Saccharomyces cerevisiae S288C: one gene and its partners. Changing the gene in region 2 together with the main gene of any one other region gives a genetic interaction. Each region holds a gene or a part of one and is shown on either strand. Other genes may lie near its edges.

Region 1 (4,993 bases), on a different chromosome or scaffold from region 2:
TAAGATATCATTATCTAGCTCTTTCATTCCGAATCTGGTTAAATCCGGCTTAAATGTCACCTTTGTATATGATGGACCCTTCTTGTAAGATGTTATTTTTGGGGGGTGGCAAATGCTCATGTTATTTTCCCATTTTTGAACATATTTCTGGCCAACATTTAGATCTGCAGTTTCTAATATGAATTCAGTGGAAAATATATTACAAAGCTTAGCACCATAACCGTTTCTACCACCAGTGACTTTCTTCTCATCATCATCATAATTGGATGATGTCAACAAATGACCAAATATCATTTCAGGAATATAAATATTCTCCTTGTTATGAATCTCTATGGGAATACCTTTTCCATCATTTTTCACTTCTATAGTATGTTCCTCAGCATGTATGTTTACATCGATTCGTTTCATCGATGGATCACGAACTTTATTATCTGCCGCATTGACTAAGATTTCATCAAAGATTTTGAACAACCCTGGTACAATTGTGACATTTTTTTCAATCATGCAATCGGTCTCTTCATCGTATATCCATTGCAGCTGCTCTTGAGTTTCAACAGAACCGATATAAGTGTCTGGTCTTTTTAAGATATGTTCCAGTTGAGAAATTTTCTGATATTTATCAGAGGCGCTTACCGGTTCAGTTGACATGGTTAGCCGTGCTGGTCGTTATAAACTCCTTTAACTGAAACAGAAAGTTAAAATTGTCGTGGTTTGCTCTACGACGTGGTTGGATTATATGAAAGATGATCTCCTCTTTTCTTTTCTTTTTGTCTCCTTCGGCAATTCAATAATATGTTTACATTATACTGAAAAAAAAAAGACGCGTCCTACTGGCGCGTCTTTCACTCATCGCCTCGTAAGGAATTCGAATACAAATAGCGTAAATAAGTAAATAAGTATATAAACGAAAAATAATCAAACTAGGCAGTTCCGTTTAGCTCATCGGCGCAGTACCTTGAGCTATGGTTTGATGTGCCATTTTCTTATATCCGTCGGAAATTTTGCTTCTGGTAAAGGCTCTCGAATAAGAATCTGTAGGACATTAACGAACAAACATATCGAATGGGTTTGTGTTTTATACATGCACTATCGATAAGCCTTTTTAACTTATTCCATTATATCTATGAAATTTGATTAAAATTATAATACGGTATTGTTTTTCCCTCCCTTGCTAAAAAGATAATGTATCATTTCAGTGTAAGTTTTTTTTATAAAATTATGCAACAGTTAGCCCCTGGTTCCTTCTTCATAAGCAAACTGGTTCTTGTAGCTACTTCAAAGACATCATCCACACCCTCACCAGTCAGTGCACTACATTCCATGTATTTCTTGGCCCCAATGGCCCTTGCAACTTGTTTTGCATCTTCAATGGGAACCATTTCATCGGTAGCATTCTCTTTAAAATGGGCTTCTTGCCTCAAATCTTTTTTCAAGCCTACAAGAACGATTGGTGCGTCAGGACAATATCGTAATGCCTCATCCGCCCATTTCGTCCTTGCGTTAATTAGTGATTCAAAATTGTCTACAGCAAACCCAATTAATATTATATCTGCTTTTGAATATGAGAATGGACGTAAACGTTCATATTCCTCTTGTCCCGCTGTATCCCAGAGCGTTAAGGACACTTTTATTCCGTCAACTCTGCAATCAGTGACATAATTCTCGAACACTGTCGGATGATATTGTTCAGGGAATTTTCCTAATGTAAATACATATAGTAAAGAGGTCTTGCCACAAGCACCATCACCAATAATAACAAGTTTCCTTCTAACGGCCTTTTCAGACATAGTACGGGATCAAAAGCACAACCAAAGCAGAACGTTTCAGCAATTGATGTCTGCACACAAATCGTTTACAGCGGTATGCAAGGGCAGTTTAATTAAGACTTAATCTGGGGACTTTTGGTTCAAATTATCAGAATAACTACCTTTGGAGAGTTGCGCTTTGAATAATTGTTGTTGAACAATTGATATATGTTATACCTAAAAAAGAGTGTACCGAAGTCTATTATCATATTCACATTCCTGCGAAAAATGGAAATTAAATGCCGGGTAAGATGTATGGGGTGTCGCAGCCTCACCTCTAAAGCCACGACGGTAAGAAAAACCGACGCGTGGCTCACATCGAGTAGAGAGATGTACGATTGTTTAGTGTCTCTTCTGAAATTTCGTCGAATTATGTATGTATGTAAATATTTTTGGCCCTGCGTACCGGAGCAAATTTAAGACGTTTGCGTAGTTGAAGAGGCAATTGGAAAACTAGCCCTTGTGGAGGTATGAGGCCTTGACGTAAATGGTGTAGCAGTTGGATCGTTCAATCCACTAAAGAGTTGATTCAGCAACCCCTTTGAGTGGCCAGCGGGAGTTTGTCTCGCAAATCGAACGTGGGTAATGGATCCATTGTTATCAGTAAAGAATTCGCAATTGTAGGCTCCTTGCATGCTTATCAATTTGTTGATAAACGTCGAGTAATCCAAGTTAAGTCCTACTAAATTTTGGAATAGTGTCCCGATAGCAATGTAGGGGTTTAAACTATCTTGTGGGGAAATAGCTAAATAAGTATTGTAGATGCTATCCAGAATGTGGCTTTCATCCACTCCACTCGAAATTTGAGGGGATTGAAGGACGTTGCTAGTCAAATATGGTGAATTGTATTGACTGTTACTAGACCAGATATTTGATGCCATGAACGCAGGGCTATCTTGCGCAGTACTAGTTATATTGCGACCGGAAAGCTCGGATTTATTCATCATCGGAGTGGTGCTGCTGTCCCAGATAGAAGTTCGATTTGGAAACGATTCAACGCTTCCTAATGTAGGTGCGAGCAGCATACCGCTTTGTATACTGCTGTTGTTAAAGTTTCCTGCAGTCGACGGTCCCGAAAATGAGCTTTTTTGATCATTCCACACAGAACGCTGTGATGGGGGGAATCCTGATGATGAAAGTGATGTATCTGCGAACCCGGAAGAAGAAAGCATGCTAGTTAAAGTGTTCAACTCGTCGGTAAACGATTTACGGTGAGTACCACCATTAGGTAGTCCAAAAGATGGCATTGTAGCTTGAGGACTAGATTTATGGGCTTGTGATTCCATTTCTGAAGTTTGAATAACCGGTGGTTTACATGTAGGATTTATGGACATTGTATTTGTCAGACCACCCCAAGATGATAAACCAAAGTCATTTGGCAATAGCTTAGTTGGCGATGAATTATTATGCATCAATAGACTTGTATTTTCCAGAGTTTGTGAGTTCATTAAATAGTTGTTTTCAGTCTGTAAAGAAGATTTTGTAGCCAAGTCTAACGCATTCGGAATAGTTGTAGTTCCAAAATGGTTGTTTTGATTACCTGGCTGTGGCAAGTGTGATTGTTCCATAGCAGGCATCTGGTTGTTAGTTGAAGGAAGAAGTAGATCATGAACGTTAAAGCCTGTGGGTGAAACTGGTTTGGATGCAGCCACGCTATTAACCATTTTAAGTATTTCATCGTTGATACTGCAACTATTATCCTCTTGGTAGTTAGTCATGTTGGGATGTGATTGAGATGAAACAGGGTTGCCAACTCCATTCTCAGTAAAAGGTTTGGCGGAAAGTATGTTCGCAGATGTTTGTTCTTCGTTTAATTTCTGTTTTCTTAGCGCATCCTCTGCAATTAATCTTTGTCTCTCTTCTTCTTCTTTTTCTTTCTGTAGCTTTTCTTGTTCTAGCCTTTTCTGTTCTCTAATACGTTTCTTTTCTTCTTCCCTCTTGCGTTTTAGTTCCTCTTTCTGTTTCCGTTGTTTTTCTTGCATTTCTTCTCTCCGCTGCTGCTCTTCCAATCTACGCTTTCTCTCCTCGTCTTTCTTCCGTTTGGCTTCTTCAACCTTTTTCCTTTGAGCCTCTCGTCTTCTCATTTCACGCTCTTCTAATTCCTTCTTTAGCCTTTCTTTCTCTTCTTCCCTTTTTCGTTTTTCTTCCTCTTTAGCTAACTGTTGCAGCCTCTTCTTTTCTTTCTCTTTTTCTCTTTTTTTCTGCTTTTTTTCTTCCTTCTCTCTTTTCTTTCTTTTTTCTTCTTCTAGTTCTTGTAGAAGTTTTAGTCTGTTATTATCTGCCTGTTTCTCATGATAAGAAGCCATTATTCGACTTTGAAGCAACTTTGTAATGGCTATCTGAATCAATTTCCGACCTTCTTCTAAACGGTCAGTTTCATCAAGACCGCTGTCATAAGTATCTTCTTCGTCATCGCCTTCATTTTCATCCTCTTCCTCTGGCTCATCTTCATCCCCATCTAATATATCATCATCGCGGTGAAAGTGCTTATGAGGATCATGCGGTAATTCTATATCGGAAATATACTCTTCTTCACTCAGTTCATCTTCGCTGTGGGTACTGGTACTATGGTAGTGATGGTGAGGGTGGTTCTGTCGTTTATGATCGTGGTCATAACTTAAATGTAATGTTTCACGTATCCCGTTGCTTTTTTCATCATGCTCTGGTTTTTCGACTGCCTCTATTCCTTCATACTCAGAAACCTCTTCGCTATCTTCAGCATATTCTGAATAGTCATCATAGTCTTCCTCATCTTCATCTTCATATATAGAATCAGTATCTAACGAAGTATCCTTCGATTGAGATGAAAAGCACGAGCTTAAAGTGGCTGCTAGAACGGATGGACCTAATTCCCCATCAAATTTATTTTTAAAGGATTGAATTATCAACTCTCTGAAAGATTTTTTGTCTCTCCCCGACATGAATCGTGTAAATAGCTCCTTCTCTAATTGTGACACATCTTTGAATTTCTTACTTGCGGTATCGTACGCATTAGTCATCCTTTCAGCAATGTTGCGCTGGAGGTCGGCATACTCATCTTCTGTAAGTGGTTTTCCACTATGCAGCATTGTGGTAAACTCCTTTGGATCAGTCAAATCTGTACTAGATGCTTCATCTTCAGTGATGCTGTCGTCTTTTTTCGATGCTTGTATCTGGCCATCTCGCACAAAGTCTTCGATTGCATTAAG
Region 2 (6,823 bases):
AGGCATTGATTTATTTGTATTGCTATTGCTTCCATTACCGCCAGCGTTCATATTATTTTTTGACGGCAATCCTTGTAATTCAAACCCATATACGTTATACAGTATAGCATTTATGTCCATAAACATTTTACTAAAAGACGGTTTTGCTATGTTTTCCTCGCGAGCAGCTTCATGTATAACAGATTGTAACTTGTTTCTTGTTATGATCGAATTTTGAGATTCTCCTCTCGATAAAATATACCTAACCATTTTTCTAGCTACAGGATTCTCTTTAACGATCTTGGCCACGGCTAAATCTTCTGTTAAATCCACATCGCTGTCATTATCTATAGAACTCATGCTAATGAGAAGCTTATGTTTATCGAACAACCTTCCCTTGTAGCATACTGATATAGGACCCCTTCAATCGAAGTTGATAATAAGCGCATTACTCTTCATTGAAATTTTTCTTCACGTATATCGCGCTGTTAAAGGAGAGGGCCGCATGCATGTAATACTTGCTATTCTTGAGTCAGAAGCCCACACTAAGTGACCTGTGAAATCAAGTTGCTGCTTCAAGATATCGTCCTGTACTGGAAAAAAATACTAGTAGGAATTGCGTGAAGTACTATATAAACTTTTCTTAGATGTAGCTTATTTAACGACACCTGAGGGGGGCATTTAGTATTCTAACTCACCCGCAACGTGAGGCCAAAACGATTCTGCAAATCGCTTCTGCTCCATCGACTCACATCCACCTCTAATAGCCAAGTAACATCTTCTGTCTAATGGAATGTTCCATTCTCCACAATTTCCGCCAACCATTATTCCTCCTGCTTCCTCAAGAATACACCAACCGGCACAAACATCCCAAGCCCAGCAGCCACCTTCCCAATAAGCATCAAGCATGCCGCTCGCTACGTAGCATATGTTCATGGCAGCACTTCCTGCACTTCTGAACCCGTGAACAAAGGCGCCGGACTCACTTAGTAAGTTTTTATAAGTATTCATTTTCTTATCAAAGTTTCCTTGGGAACCTTCAGTTCTTTCCGAACCTCCTTCTAAAGCAATTAAGGATTTTTGCAAAATCAATGGCCTTTTTGAAACCTTTATCTCCTGATCATTTAAGAAAGCTCCATTGCCTTTGGAAGCATGGAATAGTTGGTTTAAGTGAGGATTGAAAACCACACCAACAACCGGCTTCCCCATTTCAGCTAAACCTAGAGATGTACAACTATAGGGGTAACCGTGAATAAAATTAGTAGTACCATCGATGGGATCAACAATAAATGTAGGGCCGTTAGTTATTTTCGTGACACCTTTTACATAAGTTTCTTCTCCGATAAATTTGAAACTGGGATACTTGGCCGTTAAATTTTCCTTGATTATAGATTCAATTTGTTTGTCTAAAGCAGTTACCAAATCTACGCCATTTGCTTTATCATCATATGAACAAAAGTTTGTTCCTGCGTGCGATTTTACGAGAGGTCCTATTTTACTCCTAAGTAATTCAATAAATGTGTTCTCCACTTCCTCTAGTACTTGCCTCGTTAATACCATCGCTTCAATCTAAGTTTACTTTACAAGGGCTTGTGGAGCTTCAACTTCACTTATTCTCTATATTGTTTTCACGATTTTTTCTCCCCACGATTTCATATGTAATGAAGCAGGGTGCTTCACGGCGTTATCACTCGGAACACTGACGTTCTTTATTAAGAATTACCGTTTTAAGGGAAATAATAAGAGGTCACTTAATATGACTGTGAGAATCCATTTTTGTAGTTTTTTAGTTACTGGCTTTGGAATGTCAATATAACTGTGATTGACTTCCCTTTTTTTCGCTTTATGGGTCTATGATGTGCGCAAGTTGTTACCTTTCCGTAGAGAGTTCGGAGTTGATGCATTGTAAAGTTTCGTTTAATTCATAACAGAAATTCGTAATTATTCAGTAAGACATAAAACTTAAGGAACATATCACCATGTTGAGAGCGTTCCGCTGTTCTATACATACTTCGAGGGTATTGTTACATGATGCTGGAGTGAAATTAACTTTCTTCTCAAAGCCTAATTGTGGGTTATGCGATCAAGCAAAGGAAGTGATAGATGATGTATTTGAAAGAAAGGAATTTCATAATAAAGCAGTTTCACTAGAGATAGTCAACATAACTGACCGAAGAAACGCAAAATGGTGGAAGGAATATTGCTTCGACATACCAGTACTTCATATTGAGAAAGTTGGTGATCCTAAGTCGTGCACCAAGATCCTGCACTTTCTTGAAGAAGACGATATCAGTGATAAAATAAGGAGAATGCAATCTAGATGACCTCTTTTGTTTTTACTAGAGTTACAACACTGTAAATATTTATAAGCTATGAATAAGTATATACCTCAAAAAACTATATCTACGCTAATTTTACTATGCATACTTCTTACGCAGGGAACAAAATGAAATGTATTCGCACAAAACGATTTCAAATTTTCCATTATCCTCTATTTCCTTCTCCTTTTCTTGCTTATTTTTAATGACTGGTCTTCGTCTTCTACTAGTAGTAATTTTTTTCTTGAAGAAATTGGAGGTTTCATGCAATTTGAACCCTTCTTGATTTTTCCTCTCACTGGTTTAATTTGGATTGGGGAAGGGTTGGTTAACTCTAGGTCGTCATTTGATGATGAAGAAAGATCGAACTCATCGTTAAATTTGGATGTTTCTTTGGATGAATTAATTCTTGACTTACTTATATGATCCACCTTAGGACACTTTTTCATAGGAGAGTGAATGGCAGCAGAGTTATTAGGAAATAAGTTGGACGTCGTAGCATTTTTTTTGGGTGAATCTGATGGTTTAGTAAAATTTTGTGTACCTTTTTTACTAGGCTCGTTCCGTTTATGGTTTTTTATCTCTTCTAGCTCTTTAATCTTCTGTTCTAATTCCCTCTTTTGCGATTGCACCTTTTGCTGTAAATTTTTGGTGACTTCTTCCAAACTTTCGAGGTTATCTTGAAGTTCTAACTTTTCAGCTGTTATATCTTGCTTCTCCGATTTCAGAACTATCACTTGCTGTTTTAGGGTTTTTACATCGCTTAGTGATTCTTCAACACCAGTTTCCTTTTTTTCTAAACAATTTTTTAAGTGCCTATTCTGCTCTTCAAGCTCCAATTCATGAGCCTTCAGTTGTACTACTTCGACGTTTAGCTTTTGTAGCTGCTCATTGTTCTTTTGGAAAGCCTCCAGTTTGGTTGTATGATCCTTCTGTTCATTTTCTTTGATTTCTACTAGCTGTTGAATTCTTTGCTTCAGAGTGTCGTTTTCGGAAACTAAAGCCTTCACAATTTCATTCTGAGAAGATATTTTATTTTCGTAATTTGATTTTGTTGTGATGTTCAAATTGTTGAGTTTTTCTAGTTGATCCTGGACTTTTTTCAGTTCATTAGAAAGGTTTTCATTTTTTTCAGTTAAACTTTGTTCTTTGCCAGAAATTTGTGAAATTTCGATATTCTTCGCCTCCAACTTTTTGACCAAATCTTCATATTGTGCTTCTTTAGTACCAAGAGAGCTAATAATCTGATTTTTTTGTGAAGACAAAGTTGACCTTTCACTCTCCAAATGTTTTATCCTTTCTTCATACTCATTCGACTGAACTATTTCTGCCTTATATGCCTTCACCAAGTTTTCCAAACTCGCGTAATTTTTGGCTGTTTGAGACGCATCATCAAGAAGCTCTTGCCTTGTGTTATTCATTTCACTTACCAAAGCAGTTTGAATATTCCCTGATGACGTTAATAGTTCTTCTTGTACTCCCATTATAAGTCCTTTTTGCGTTACACTCAGCTCATTTATTGTTTTTGCCATTTCATCCTTACTGGATGACATTTTTTGTTCAAGATTTTCTTTGATATCTTCATATTGCTGCTTTAGCATGGTCTCTGTATTACTACTCAACTCTACAGTGGTGTTCCTCAAGCCTACGTTAAGGGTATCTTTTGCCACATCGAAGTGCTTTTGTAATTTTTTTTCAAACAAATCATGAACTCTTTCTTCGAATTTGTTAAATTGCAGTAAATGGTGTGCTTTATCTTCTGAAAAGAAATTCTCAATTGATTTAATCATTTCTTCTCTATTTTTTCCCATTTCCTGTATTAAGGAACTGTTTTTGATTTTTTCTTCGCTCAACTGACCTGAACAATCATCTAGTTCTCTTTTCAGGTATTCAATCTCTTTACCTTTTTTCATTAATTCTGCATCCGCCTCCTTTTTGTTCTTCCCTAAATCATTTATTGTTTTGTTCAAGTTTTCAATACTTGTCTTAAATCCGCTTATCCTTCTCTGATATAGTTGGTGGTTTTGTCTTAAATCTTTCAATTTAGTTTCTTGATTATTCTTATGGCTCGTCAACGTTGCAATCCTTTCTTGAAGAGTTTCTAAACAAGATTTATATTTTCCGACTTTTTCATTGATCTTATCAGAATTGGAAGCATACGACTGTAGTCGAACTTTCAACTTTGCATTATCCTGTTGCTGCTTTTGTAGCTCTTGCTTTAAATTTGAACATATTCTTTGAGTGTTTGTGAAGGCTTCTAACAGGACATCATTTGAAGATGTACTAGAATTATTGATGGACGTGTGCAAAGGAGCCTTTCCATTTGTCATAGTATATTCATGCATTTTACTATCCTTGAGAGTTGTCTCAGAATCGTTAGGATCCCCATGACTTTCTTTCGTTTCTTTTGCTACTCCTTCACTCACTTCTCTTACTTCTGTAATTTCAAAATCTTCATCAGTATCATTTTCAATTGCGGCAACATCATTTTTTAAAATTCTGTTGTATTGGTCTGTTGATGTTGTTTTTTTTGGTGAACCTATTTCCATATCATCAGAATAACCATGGTTTCTCTGACTAAGGCTCATACTTGTAATCAGTTCTTGTTCGGTAGAAGTTTTGTGGGGTTTTTTGAAGGTATCATCTCCCTCTATAGAAGAACCCACGTCTAAACAGTTGGATGAATTCTCGACAACAGTATTAGCGGAAGAATCTGAATCTACATCTCTGACTCTCAGCTTAGCGAAGATGTTTGGTCGAGGCTTGAATCCCATTGAACTATCTCTAAAAAAGTTTGACATTCTCTAAAAATTTAGCCGCCGAGGGTATTTTACTTCCGAATCTCAAAGAAAAAAATATGCTTACTGTTAATCCTAAAAGAGGTGACAATATTCAGCTAAAACTTTCAGAGACTTGCAGTTCTCTTCAAGGCGGTCAACTTTAACAAAGAGGTAGCAGATTGTTTTCTTTATTTGTTCGCTATTTACAAGTGAAGAAGCAGCTCTTCATAAAGGGACAACACGGCTTATAGCATTTTTTACGAAAAGTTTGACCGTTTAGAACAAATATTTAAAAACTAGTACTCGATTTCTGGCGCAGCAAAAATATAGCATTATGTCCGATAAACACAGTTGTGATCTGTCTTGTGATCGCATACTCTGCAGATAATCAGTTGAAATAGCAGCTTTTAAGTGAGAATCTTATTCTTAGTCTACATCGTTACATTGTATCAGTCACAGGTACGGAGAGAAATTATACTTTTCGATTTCATTCAATGTAGTTTCTTTTTTACATTAAATATAGTTTTCCAGTAGTGCACTATTATTAAGGCGCTTCTGTTTTTAGTCAACACTTTTTCAGATAGTACCTTTCAGGTGGTTAGAGTGCGATCCCTTTAAAAAAAAGTATTCGTCAACGATGACAGGGTAAAGAATAAATGCAGCACGCCTGGCGTATACTGCTATAATTGTACATCATGTTATCGGCGTTGATTCTCAATTGTTTGGTGATTAGCTTTTATATATAGATAGAAACCCAACGTTGGATAACCTCACGACTAACTTTTTTGTATTTTAGAAATAATTTGTCGATCGGTTGTATATTTTTGTCATATATTATCTAGAAACGTTAGGGAATAAACTGTTATCTAGGGTCCACTAACATACGCGCAGTTCGGAAATCAGCAAACATCACTTAAAGGACACCTGCTATAAACTGAATTGTGTCCAATTTTTCGAGTAGTTAGCAGTTCAATAAAGGGCACGTTATCAATTGTTAAAGGCAAAGAATCAGAATTAAATCATAGCAAACGACCAAAATGAACAGAGTTTCGTTTATTAAAACGCCTTTCAACATAGGGGCGAAATGGAGATTAGAAGATGTCTTTTTGCTCATTATCATGATACTTCTTAACTACCCAGTGTATTACCAACAACCGTTCGAACGTCAGTTTTACATTAACGATCTCACTATATCGCATCCTTATGCGACAACTGAACGTGTAAATAACAACATGTTGTTTGTTTATAGTTTTGTCGTGCCATCTTTAACCATATTGATAATTGGTTCCATTTTGGCCGATAGAAGACATTTGATTTTTATTTTGTACACATCTCTCCTTGGTTTATCACTCGCTTGGTTCAGTACGAGTTTCTTTACAAACTTCATCAAGAATTGGATTGGAAGACTAAGACCAGATTTTCTAGATCGTTGCCAACCTGTTGAAGGCTTGCCATTGGACACTTTATTTACTGCAAAAGATGTGTGTACGACTAAGAATCACGAACGTCTGTTGGATGGGTTTAGGACAACTCCGTCAGGTCATTCAAGTGAAAGCTTTGCAGGACTGGGTTATTTGTACTTCTGGCTATGTGGGCAACTTTTGACTGAATCACCGTTGATGCCTTTATGGAGAAAAATGGTGGCCTTTCTACCACTGTTAGGAGCTGCACTAATTGCTCTATCCAGAACTCAAGATTACAGACATCATTTCGTCGATGTAATTTTAGGGTCTATGTTGGGTTATA
Region 3 (5,484 bases), on a different chromosome or scaffold from region 2:
AAAGCCCTATATTACCGTATAGACAATGGGCGCGTCCCTAAAGAGGATACCAAATAGCAGTTTTACGCGTACCACAAAATTTAACGACCAACGCGTATTCTTCGCGTTTTTTTTTTGCGACGGTAAACAAAAAAAGGGCCCTCTGCGGTAAAACAAGTGGGTCTACCACAGGACACAGGACTTGGTTGTTTCTACTCTCCCTGTGTATCCTACAATTGGCAATTGGCAATTCGCAACCTGCGTTTAAATATTTACCGTTTTAGCACATTGATTACCTTTTTTGCTAGGGTTAAGTTTTTGCCTTTTTCTTATTAACATATATATAACTGCTTCATTTCATACAAGTGACTTTTATCTTTTATTAAATAATAACAAGCTTCACTAATCTAGCGTTCATACAACATACAAATCAGTGTGTTGAAAATTATTATTCTCTGATATTCTCTCCCTCCTTTTAAATTTTTAAAATGAATTGTATCCCTAGTCCAATTAGTGAAAGGAAAATCCAAATTAATAATGAAGATTGTATAGGCAAGGAAAATGCTTTCCATACCATTCCAAGAGAAAGTTCAATTAACTTGACACCTCACTCTACGAATGAAAAAAAAGTTCTATCCGAGGTAAACAGTAACAAAATCGATTCTTTACAACTCCCTCGAGGTAAATTGCAAAGAGATTCCACCCATTTGGAAAAAACAAGAAAGAGACAATTATCAAATGATTCAACCGATCCTATAGAGCCAAAAACTGTGAAAAAAATAAAATGTCATCAATGGAAAAATTTGGATTCGATAGAGATGGATGATCCATTCATGGTAGCAGAATATACAGATTCTATATTTTCTCATCTTTACGAGAAGGAAATCCAAATGCTACCGACACATAACTATTTAATGGACACGCAATCTCCCTATCATTTGAAAAGCTCCATGAGGGCGCTGTTAATTGACTGGTTGGTTGAAGTTCATGAGAAATTTCACTGCTTACCTGAAACATTATTTTTAGCGATCAACCTGCTAGATCGATTTTTATCACAAAATGTTGTTAAATTGAATAAATTACAACTACTATGCATCACTTGCCTGTTCATTGCCTGTAAATTTGAAGAAGTTAAATTACCAAAAATAACAAATTTTGCGTACGTGACTGACGGTGCTGCCACTGTCGAAGGAATTAGGAAGGCTGAGCTATTCGTTCTAAGTTCTTTAGGTTATAACATATCTCTACCAAACCCCCTAAATTTCATTAGGAGAATTTCAAAAGCTGACAATTACTGCATTGAAACAAGGAACATGGCCAAATTCATCATGGAATATTCGATTTGTTGTAATAAATTCATCCACCTGAAGCCATCATATTTAGCTGCAATGTCCATGTATATCGCCAGAAAAATTAAAAATGAAAATTCCAAATGGGATGAAACTTTTATTCATTATAGTGGCGGCATTGATATTGAATCAGATCCAGCGTTTAAGGATTTTATCAGTGAACTAGTTGAAGATATTGCTGTACCTGATACGAATCTAGATTCCTTGAGACTTAAATACAAAAAGCCTAAACATGGCATGGTTTATTTCAAGGTTTTTGACTGGTGTAAACAAAAACGTTGAAACATAGATCAAAATTATAGCCAGCTAACCCCCTGCATCTTAAATATCATCGATAGACATACTTCTTTATTTCTTTTATGTATTCAAAAAAAGAAAGAAAATGCATTATTCCTCACTTTAAAGATAATTTTCCAATTATGGGAGAAAAAATTTATAAATGAATTAATTATTACAGCCTACAAAACTGATACCGTGTGATAATATATATGAGATAACCGTTATATGAATAATGAATGCCTGATTTTTCTATAAAATAGATGATAAAGTAAGGAAGTGAGATTTTGGTTTTCTGTGTAGGCTAGCACCTTCACTCATGCAATGTCATAATATCATATCCATTTTTCCTTACCTTCAATGCCCATTCGATAGAAATTATGGAAGCCTTTAAAAATCTTCTCGATTGATATTTTTTCAAGAACTCGTCGTGAATAGTAGATCCAACAAGATAATCCATCAGTAATTGGCAAACGGGATATAGTTTTGCCTTTGTGTAACCACCACTATAATGGATTAAGTTGCCATCCCAGGTGCCCTTGCCCAGCATTTTTCTCGAAAGGAACATTGCCGCTGAGGCACATAATGACGGTAATATCCCGATGAACTTGAAGTCCACTATAGATATTTCCATTAGGAACTTCGCTAACGTCCTAGACTGGATATCATAGTCATCCGCTTTTGATATTCTCCTTAAGAAATTCATTGGGTTAGCGAAACTAATTTGAAAATCGAGTTTTTCCAATATAAATCTTTCACCCTCTTTAATATCTTCCACAGAGCATGCACCGTCTGTCTCGTACGCAAAATGTTTTATGCTAGGGGAGTATATTTCCTCATACTTAGATGCGATGAACAGGCATGATGTACCAACCAGTTGCAATCTATTTAACTGAACCACCTCTTCACAAAGAAATCTATCCATTATGTTTATGGCCAAATATAGAGTTTCCGGCAGAAGGCCAAACTTATTATGAATCTTGATTATCCAGTTCACCAAAATGTCTCTGTTTTGCTTAATATTTTTATGCTTATAGAGATTCGCCTTATTTGGCAATGTGATTATTTCCAAGTGATGCAAATAATCGAAGATATCATTAACCTCTTCGCTCACCATTAAGGGATCATCACAATCTTCTTCATCTAGGTCATCCCATTCGTACTCCTCCAGAACCTCTTCTTCTGTAGTCAATTCATGGAGTTTGAACTTTTTCTGGTCATCCTGCTCTACAAGAGTTGATATTGGCCTTTTTTTTTTGGAATCTTCTCTCATTATTTTTTTCTGCCATTCCATTTGAGTGGAAATAGACTTGTTCTCAGAGTATATCAACCGATTACAGCTCAAGGCAGTCGAATTCGTATGAAAAGAGTCATCATTTGAGCACTGCTGCTTTTCTTGCTCGGAATATCCATATTCAGGAATATTTTCCTTATTGTTTAGTACTTCTTGTTTCACCCCCTGTCTACTGTCATTAAAAGAGGAGGTGAAGTCATCGGCTCTCGAAACATCATCCTTTAAAGGAAAGAAGTTGTTCAATTTTGAGAAGTTCTTCATCCCAATTTTTCTGTTCATAGAAATCTCTTGCAGGATATTTGCATTATTTGTGACATTACCGAGAATGGTCCTTGGGACGTTTCTCTTTTGTAAGATATATTGACTTTCGTTTACCCCCTTCTCTTCATTACTATTAATGGTTCTACTATTCTCTACCAAAAGGGATCGTGACATTATGAGAAGATTAAAGCTTCCTTTGATGGTTGATATAACGGACGAAAATATTTTGGCTCTGTTCTTGTTGGTAGATCTTATTCTTAATTACGCTTTTGTGATCTAAACAGCTGCACCAGTTAGCAACTTTAATAGTTTTAAGAAACTATACCAAGAGCCACAAGTAAAACTGTCGCTGGAAAAACCGAAGACACTAAAATTGCAGCCTGCTCAAGTTTGGCCGAATGTAAAAAACACAATACAACCAAAATTGCCTAGAATAGATCACCCTAGTATCTTCTTCTTACACAGAAGTGCAATAACTTCTATTACTTAATATATATAACTACACGCCGTATTCATAAAAGAAGGATCAAACCCGTTTCTGCAGAGGAAGACGAATGAGGAAATCACAAACAAAACAAATTGGGCAGACCGTATGCGGAACGCAAATTGAAGTAATATGTTATGTACGTTCCGCACCTAACTTGCAGGATACCCATAAATGATGCTGTAAAAATGCAAGTTGAAAATGATTAATTAATACAACAAATTTAAAGTTACCGTTGACGTGAGTTTTATGGTGCTTCTATATTTTGTGTCCGCTTCTTGATTGTTGATGTTTTTCCTCTTTGGGCGGTTGTAAACAAAAGGTCGTGCCCGTTTTGTGAGAGCCCCTACTCGAAAACGGTAGTGAAAAACCGCCCAAATGATGCATCTAGTAAAGAAAACTAATTGAAGCGCGTCTGTGTGTGCCTGCTTCAAGAATGACACTGGGCATGCATAGCCTCGTTGAAAAGTCCACTTGCAATACGACGAAAGAGGAGCCAGTAGCACATAATTAATCGGAGGGAATCTCGATCGTGTCCTATTCAAATTTGGAAGAAACGCCTTTTTTAACAGAGCGGGCGGACTTTCAATAAAATTGGATGCAAAAAAAAAAAATGACTGAGTACAAGCGAAGCTTACTAAATAATTGGATAACACCATGAATGATATTATGGAGCAATTCGATAGTTCAAAAATTGACAAAGACAATGCTTTTACGCATCAATAAAAAATGCCGTAACTGTTGCAGTTTTCAGCGTTAGTTTCAATTTTAAGATTATTTTTACTATGAATAGAAGATAAATATTTTCATTTCCCCCCCAGTTGTTGTCATTATGAACATATAAAACATTCATTTACTCTTGTTTATTATCATTCATAGATCAAGAATATATGGTAAATAACGCAAGAAGCTCTTGGAACAATCGTAATGATAAAATAGAAAAGAACAATTGCGCTGTAAATTCTTACGTCCAAAACAATTGTAGTTTAATGCGGGTGAAAATACGTTAACATTAGGCTTGTTTCCAACGAGAACTGTGGCAAGGAAATGTAAACATTAGCATTGCAAAGTCTCTTGCCGAACCTATAGATTACCGATTGAACTTGGCTTGCTACGTATTTTCGAAGTAGTGGATATTTTCATCTTGATTGATTTCTGCTAAAATAACAATCAGTTATCTTCCGCATATTACTCATGCAACAAACTGAAGCTATTATTTACCTTACATCGAATTTTCAAGAAGCGATGATAAAAAATGGTGTGAAATTATATGACCTGAAGACCAGAATTAAACAATCATTGAACCTGACAGAAGCTGATGCACGAAAGTTGATACTTTAAAAAGTATTCTGCGTAAGAAAACCAAACTTAAATATTGCCTTCAAAATTAATTTGTATCAATTGCACGAACAGTTGATGGACTATTATGTCATGAAGAAGAACCGCTTCAATTGCCAATATACATAAAGCTAATAGCAATGATATAAATAGAATTTCGGAACCACCGTTAAGTCCTACTGGATTTTCTCGGTCTGAATAGAATGTTGGAACAGGTTGGTTGCCATTCCCTACATATGTAACTATGGTGATAATCTGAAACAATGAAACGGGATAGTAACGTTTGTTACGCGCTCCTTTGTAGTGCCGTCGCACTGTTTCAAAGTAAATAAACGATAAACGAGCCACTTGCGCAGTAAGTGTAACAGAAGTGGAAAATCTACTAGTGGAACGTTAACGTGGATTCAACCCGCTAAGATGGGATAAAGTTTAGGGGAACGGGTGCGAGAAATATATGAATCTTGGAACAGTTTTTGGGATTCATTGTTATCAAATGCCATATT
Region 4 (5,678 bases), 650 kb from region 2:
ATGTTTTCAACCCTTGCTCCAGCTTCGAATAGTTCTCCAAATACCTTACGTTCCTCTTCGAGAGCTTGTTCAAATGTCTTTTCATTTGAAACTCTTTCTACGTTGTGAGTTTTTCTATCTTTCAAATTGGCTTCATTCAGCAAGCATCTATGGATGCAATGTATGTATCTATAGTTACAGTTTTTTAATATAGATGATGTTCTGATCATTGTATGGCGTGTTGTACTCTTCCTTAGTTCCCTCTTCTTCCTTTACAATTATCTCTCAAGTATAGCAAGCGTTGTCACATCACAGTTTTCGGCCTTGTTCGCCTAATTACATTTTTCTGAATAAATACGTATGTATGCTGCGAGTACTAGATACTGTTGATAAATGGTAACATAAATACTCTAGATCGCAAAAGCGCATGGAAGTTGAGCAGTAATATAATTTTAGAGGAATATGGTTATTATACTCCCTGAGAATAAGTGCACATTGGATGGGAAAATTTCGTAAAAAAAACTCTTGTAAAGACAATTGTTTCCTTAATAGCTATTATATAATCCAATTTGGTTAGAGTTTTGTATGCCGATTATTAACGTTACCCAAAAATAATACTGTCATACATCGGCTTGTTCTTGTTCGGCTTGTTTAAAGAAAAATTGAACGTAATAAAGTTTTGATATAGCATCCCAAAATGTACACTTTTTATTTAATTCATCTACTCCATCGTTATTATTGTCCATGTCATTGTTTTCGCTGAATAATATTTCGTTTGGAGGTAGCTCAATAGCAATATTTTCAAAGGGTTCATACGCAATAACGAGAAATTTTTTTCCCTTCTGTTTGGTATCTGATAGCTCTAAACCAGATACAATCCTAATGAGAGGAGGGACTTTAGCCTTATCATCGCTATCGACACTATTTTCTTTGACTTCACTGCTATAATTTACCTGGATAGCCAAACCTACTGAACCGTTCTTCGGGTTTTTCACGGTAGCTATTTTACAAACAGGGATCGTACCGTTATTCTTTAAAGATTGCTTAGCTTCAATTATCTTTTGTTGTTGTCGGAAATCATGAGTTGTTTGGCCTTCTCTCCCTAGAGAACTTTTCTCTATACTGATACCACGCCTTAACACATTTAAACCATGTTTTTTACCACCCAAATGCCTTTCAACGCTGGACCACGACATGTGCATTGTATTACATAGTTTACAAACCAGTTTACCGGAATGATTCTTGTAAATGTACGGATTGGACCTTACTTGATCGTCCTTTTCATCTTGGAAAGTGTACGGGACATTTTCGCCTTTACTAAGTAATGATTCGACTTCTTTCCTTCGTTGTAAGTTAAACTGAGATTCTGAGGCTATACCACCACCTCCTTTCTTTGACCCAACGCCTTCTAAATAGTTCATTTTGAATGTATGGATGCGTTAAATGATTTGAATTTGCTGTTCCACCTGCCCTTCTTACATTAAGCTATTTGTGAGAGCCTTGCGTCTTTAGCAGATTTTTTTTTTTCATTTTTTTAGTGAGATGGGCGGTACATGTAATATTTCACCCGGTACAATGAAAATAGCAGAATGTAAATAATATTTGACTACAATAATTGAAAGGAAAACAAAATTGTTTGCCATACTATGTAAATTGATATTAATTTGGCACTTTTAAATTATTAAATTGCCTTCTACTTAGAGGGTTTTGGGATGTTCATCTGATGTAACGACATACACGCCCTTATCCTTCTCTTGGCATTTAAAGTTCTTGTTCTTCAAATCGTTCCATTTCTTATGCGGAATCGTCCAGCCACATTTTTGGGCTACCATAGCTGCAATGTCATCACAGTACCCCAAAAGAGATAAATCAAATTCTGCGTGCTTGACGGGATCACGATTAATCAGGACTTGGGGAACGTGGGAAGGAACCATGTTTACGATTTCAGACACTGGCGCTACTTTTAAACTTGTCCCAATGCAAATCAACAAATCACATTCTAAGATATCTTCGCGAATGCTCTTATGAAATTTATTTGGCAGTGCTTCGCCAAAGAATGTGATATCTGGTTTGAGAACGCCATATGAGTTAAGGATATATGGAGGCCTTTCCGACATTGAACCCTGTGATGCAGCAACACCTACTTTATTATTATATCCCTCTGGGAAATATTCTCTTCTTTTTTTGTAACAGTACGGGCATAGTGGAAGTTCGAGGTTTCTAATTTTATTAAATATCCTCTCACCGGGTAGGTTCCAATGGCAGGTAACGCAGGTGGCAGTAGCAAAAGAGCCATGGCACTGCACCAGTTTATCTGTGCTTATTCCCGCATAAGATTCCAAATTATCAATGTTTTGAGTATAATTTCTCAATAATTTCCCTTTCATTTGTAGCATCTTAATGAAACTATGCAATGGAGAATAAATTTTTTCTGGAGGTAAAACCATATTGGCAATATTATAGAAAACAGAGGGGTCGTGCATAAATATATTGTAATTGAAAACGTCTTGGGGATCATCGAGCCCCAAATGTTTGATCTTTGAATAGAACCCCTCAGAAGATCTGAAGTCCGGGATCCCTAATGAAGTTGAAACACCTGCACCAGTCAGGACCAAAATTTTTCTAGCGGTATGTAATTTTTGAATAAAATGATCAATAGTGAAAAAATTGGATAATCTTAATCTTGTACATAGAACTTTGTTAATTGCTCTTTGCAAATCTTTGATTAGACGAACTGTTTGCTTTTTTGCCAATGGGTCTTCAACATTTGTGACAGATATTGCACTTCCCAAATCTTGAACACGCTCTTGCGAGTTGATATGGACAATACTGTTGATGGTGCCGATAAGCGCTTGATCTTTAACTTCAAAGCCTAGCAACTTGATAAGATAGTAAATGTATAACGAGTTCAAATCCTCGGGGAGGTAAGTGTCTAAAAATTTGTGTGCACCATAGTATTTCAGAAACATTCGAGCATTGAGAGACTCTCGTTTAGTGAAGGAGGGACCATAGAAAATACCATTTGATGGGTTTTTACTGATTATGATTGGCCCCTTGGGCGTCTCTGGTTTCAAAACGTCATTGGACATTGACACTACTGAAGCTGCTGACACTGCCAAGGGATCCATGTCATTAGTTGGTTTGAGCTCCATCGATGCCACTTCTCCGAGCGCAGCTTTAGTGTGCCCAAGTGGATCTGTTGTGTTGGTTTCCCTCAAGGAATCCGGCTGTGCTACTTTTATCTTCTTATGTGAAGGTTCATCATTATTTATAATGTCATCGGGTTGTTTTCTGATCGCGTCTTTATCTTGTGTGGGGCTTACTGTATTTGAAACCTTATTTTCGCTAGTCTTTGATACGGCGTATTTCATATGTGGGATGGTCATCCAGCTTTAATGTGCCGATGAGGGAAAAATGGTTTGAATGTGTCTACCGAAGCGATGCCTAATTTCTTGAAATACGTGAGAATGGGCTTTACATCTCTTCACTAAATATATTTTTCTTGGGTGGTGAAAAAGACAAGTCTTTCAAACTATGCGACCTAGAAAAAAAATATTTTACCGCAACTGGCGGCCAAAGAGGACAAAGAAAAATTCCTCGTTTTTTCTCTGAGATGGGAAAGCAAGAATTTTGGCAAGAAAAGGTCCTGGCTGTCCTGGACCATGGTTGGAAGGAGTGCTAGATGTAGCTTGGAAAAGAAATGACCTATAACAATGTATCTTTTATGAGCATATGCGCATGCATATAAGCATATACATAAAAAATATATACATAAATTAAGTAAGAGTTAATTGACACATTGAGGAGTTGCAGGCTACAAGTAATACTGTAGAATTTCGTTCTGGGAGTGAGGCTCCAAGGGAGAAAGACTGCTAATAATCATTTCTTTCAAATTAGAGCTTCCGATCGGAACATCATCGCGATAGCGATACAGAAATAGCAGGCCATTTATATCATTCTTACCGAATTTTTCTTGGTAGAAATTCAGCCAATCGAAGCTATTGTTAGATATTTCGTTTAATGGGAAATTTTCAGAATACTCTTTTTCAAGGCTCTTCGTGACTACTTTCTTCAAAATTGGATCAAAGGGGGTGTCGTTTCTTGTGGCATGTAACAAAACAATGGCCATACTACCAAATAAACCGCTCGTGGTGCCAAATCTCTTAGCGAATTTGTTTAGAGAAGCAAAGCACAAAGCTAACTTTCCAATTCTGTAGTTAAATTCAAAGTCCAAAATATAATCCCTTTCGTCTTCTCTGACTTGCATGGAGTAGTTATTATAAAATTCGGTAGCGAAGTCCTCCATTGGAGTGGAGGTTTCAATCAACTTTTCGCCGAATACATCGTTATCTTGATCACTCGGATAAGCAGCAACACTCTTGGCTTCAGTTTCTTTCCGTTTGTTCATAGCGGCTGCTTCCTTCTTAGCTTTTTTCTTTTGGCTGCTACTATTTTGGCCATTATTTTGGATTTCATCTGAATTTTCATCTAAAGAATCGGACTTTCTTTTTAAGCGATCATCATGCATTTGAAAGTAAAGCTTTGATGCTTCCTTCATTGCGCGAACATACATGGGTTTGGTATAAAGTGCCTTTCCCCATTCTAACATCTCCAGATAGGCTCTTGGCGTACCTTTTCTCATACAGTATGAATGGAAATCCAACTGGTCATCTTCGAATTGTTTATAAAACTTTGGAATAGCGTTGAATCTTTTCAGCGCCAAACCTTTATATTTGCGAACAAGCCATTGGTTTTCTTTGATATCATTCGCAATTTGTTCGCTTTTATCACTTTCAACCTCTTTTTTTAGCGATGCTAAATCGTCTAATTTCTTTTTTCTATCCAGGTATAGTCTATAATAGGCTTCTGCCTGTTCTACGATGAACCAAGAAGCTTCCACAAGGTGTAAGTCCTTAATACCATTAACAGAATCATCGTTTTTGGTGAAAAGGGACGCGACTTCCACCGCCTTGTCGATATTGTTAGCCCTTAAAAAGTACTTAACCGTTTTACAGTTGATAAATCTATCCTGCAAATCAAGTTGCCTACCTTCCTCCAAAATTCCAGCCGCTGTGTCCATTAGGCCTAAGTGCTTCAGGATACGTGCCTTGAGGATGTAAAACTCAACTAAAGTTGGGGTGTGGTCAAGGGCAGCATCAATATATTCTTGGGCTTTCGGAAAATCCTTAAGGAAAAGGAAATGTTGAGACAAGTAATAATTGGTCCAAATAAAAGGAATTGGATCCTGCGTAGGATCTAATCCGGACAAATAATCAAGGACAATTTTCTCCAATAGTGGTGAAACCTTGGACTTCCTTCTTTGGTAAAGGGGTTTCACGTTGGAAAAAGTTGCTGGAACACCGCGCTCCAATTGAGGCAAAACATATTCTCTCAATTTTTTGCTGAGCTCTTCTTTGTCTTGAAGGAAAGTTAATGGAATAAATTTGGGTGGTTCGCATCTTGGATAAAATTGTTCAAGTTTTCCATACAAAGCCTTCTTCAATTTATTGTCACCTTGGATTCCCAAGGATACTTCCAGTAATTTGTAGTACTTAAAATTATCTGGATTTCTCTTGATCAGAGTTCTATAAACAATGGACGCGTCTTTCAATTGACCCAATTTCATGTAAATAGTTGCTTTTCTCTCTAATAAACCAAATTTATCAAAGACGCATGGCTCGATATCATTCAAATGTTTC

The links.
Region 1: mutations in ZIP1 (region 2) and RHO2 together harm fitness more than expected from each alone (negative genetic interaction), as found in Saccharomyces cerevisiae (2 studies listed by BioGRID).
Region 3: of ZIP1 (region 2) and CLB1, extra expression of one rescues a mutant of the other (dosage rescue), as found in Saccharomyces cerevisiae (3 studies listed by BioGRID, with this or other methods).
Region 4: of ZIP1 (region 2) and SIR2, changing one suppresses a phenotype caused by changing the other (phenotypic suppression), as found in Saccharomyces cerevisiae (3 studies listed by BioGRID, with this or other methods).

Annotation. Positions count from the first base shown.
Region 1 is NC_001146.8:453,359-458,351, reverse strand, and holds RHO2 (Rho family GTPase RHO2), read right to left. Parts: upstream 1,788-4,993; coding exon 1,209-1,787; downstream 1-1,208. Other genes in the region: TOP2 (DNA topoisomerase 2), read right to left, coding at 1-648; NST1 (Nst1p), read right to left, coding at 2,222-4,993.
Region 2 is NC_001136.10:1,030,711-1,037,533, reverse strand, and holds ZIP1 (Zip1p), read right to left. Parts: upstream 5,099-6,823; coding exon 2,471-5,098; downstream 1-2,470. Other genes in the region: Smc5-Smc6 complex subunit NSE3, read right to left, coding at 1-339; inositol monophosphate 1-phosphatase INM2, read right to left, coding at 661-1,539; MGP12 (Mgp12p), read left to right, coding at 1,959-2,303; DPP1 (bifunctional diacylglycerol diphosphate phosphatase/phosphatidate phosphatase), read left to right, coding at 6,115-6,823.
Region 3 is NC_001139.9:701,485-706,968, reverse strand, and holds CLB1 (B-type cyclin CLB1), read right to left. Parts: upstream 3,334-5,484; coding exon 1,918-3,333; downstream 1-1,917. Other genes in the region: B-type cyclin CLB6, read left to right, coding at 468-1,610. UniProt on the Saccharomyces cerevisiae protein: Essential for the control of the cell cycle at the G2/M (mitosis) transition. Interacts with the CDC2 protein kinase to form MPF. G2/M cyclins accumulate steadily during G2 and are abruptly destroyed at mitosis.
Region 4 is NC_001136.10:375,081-380,758, forward strand, and holds SIR2 (NAD-dependent histone deacetylase SIR2), read right to left. Parts: upstream 3,366-5,678; coding exon 1,677-3,365; downstream 1-1,676. Other genes in the region: MTF2 (Mtf2p), read right to left, coding at 1-209; spliceosome assembly protein PRP11, read right to left, coding at 600-1,400; peptide alpha-N-acetyltransferase complex A subunit NAT1, read right to left, coding at 3,794-5,678. UniProt on the Saccharomyces cerevisiae protein: NAD-dependent deacetylase, which participates in a wide range of cellular events including chromosome silencing, chromosome segregation, DNA recombination and the determination of life span.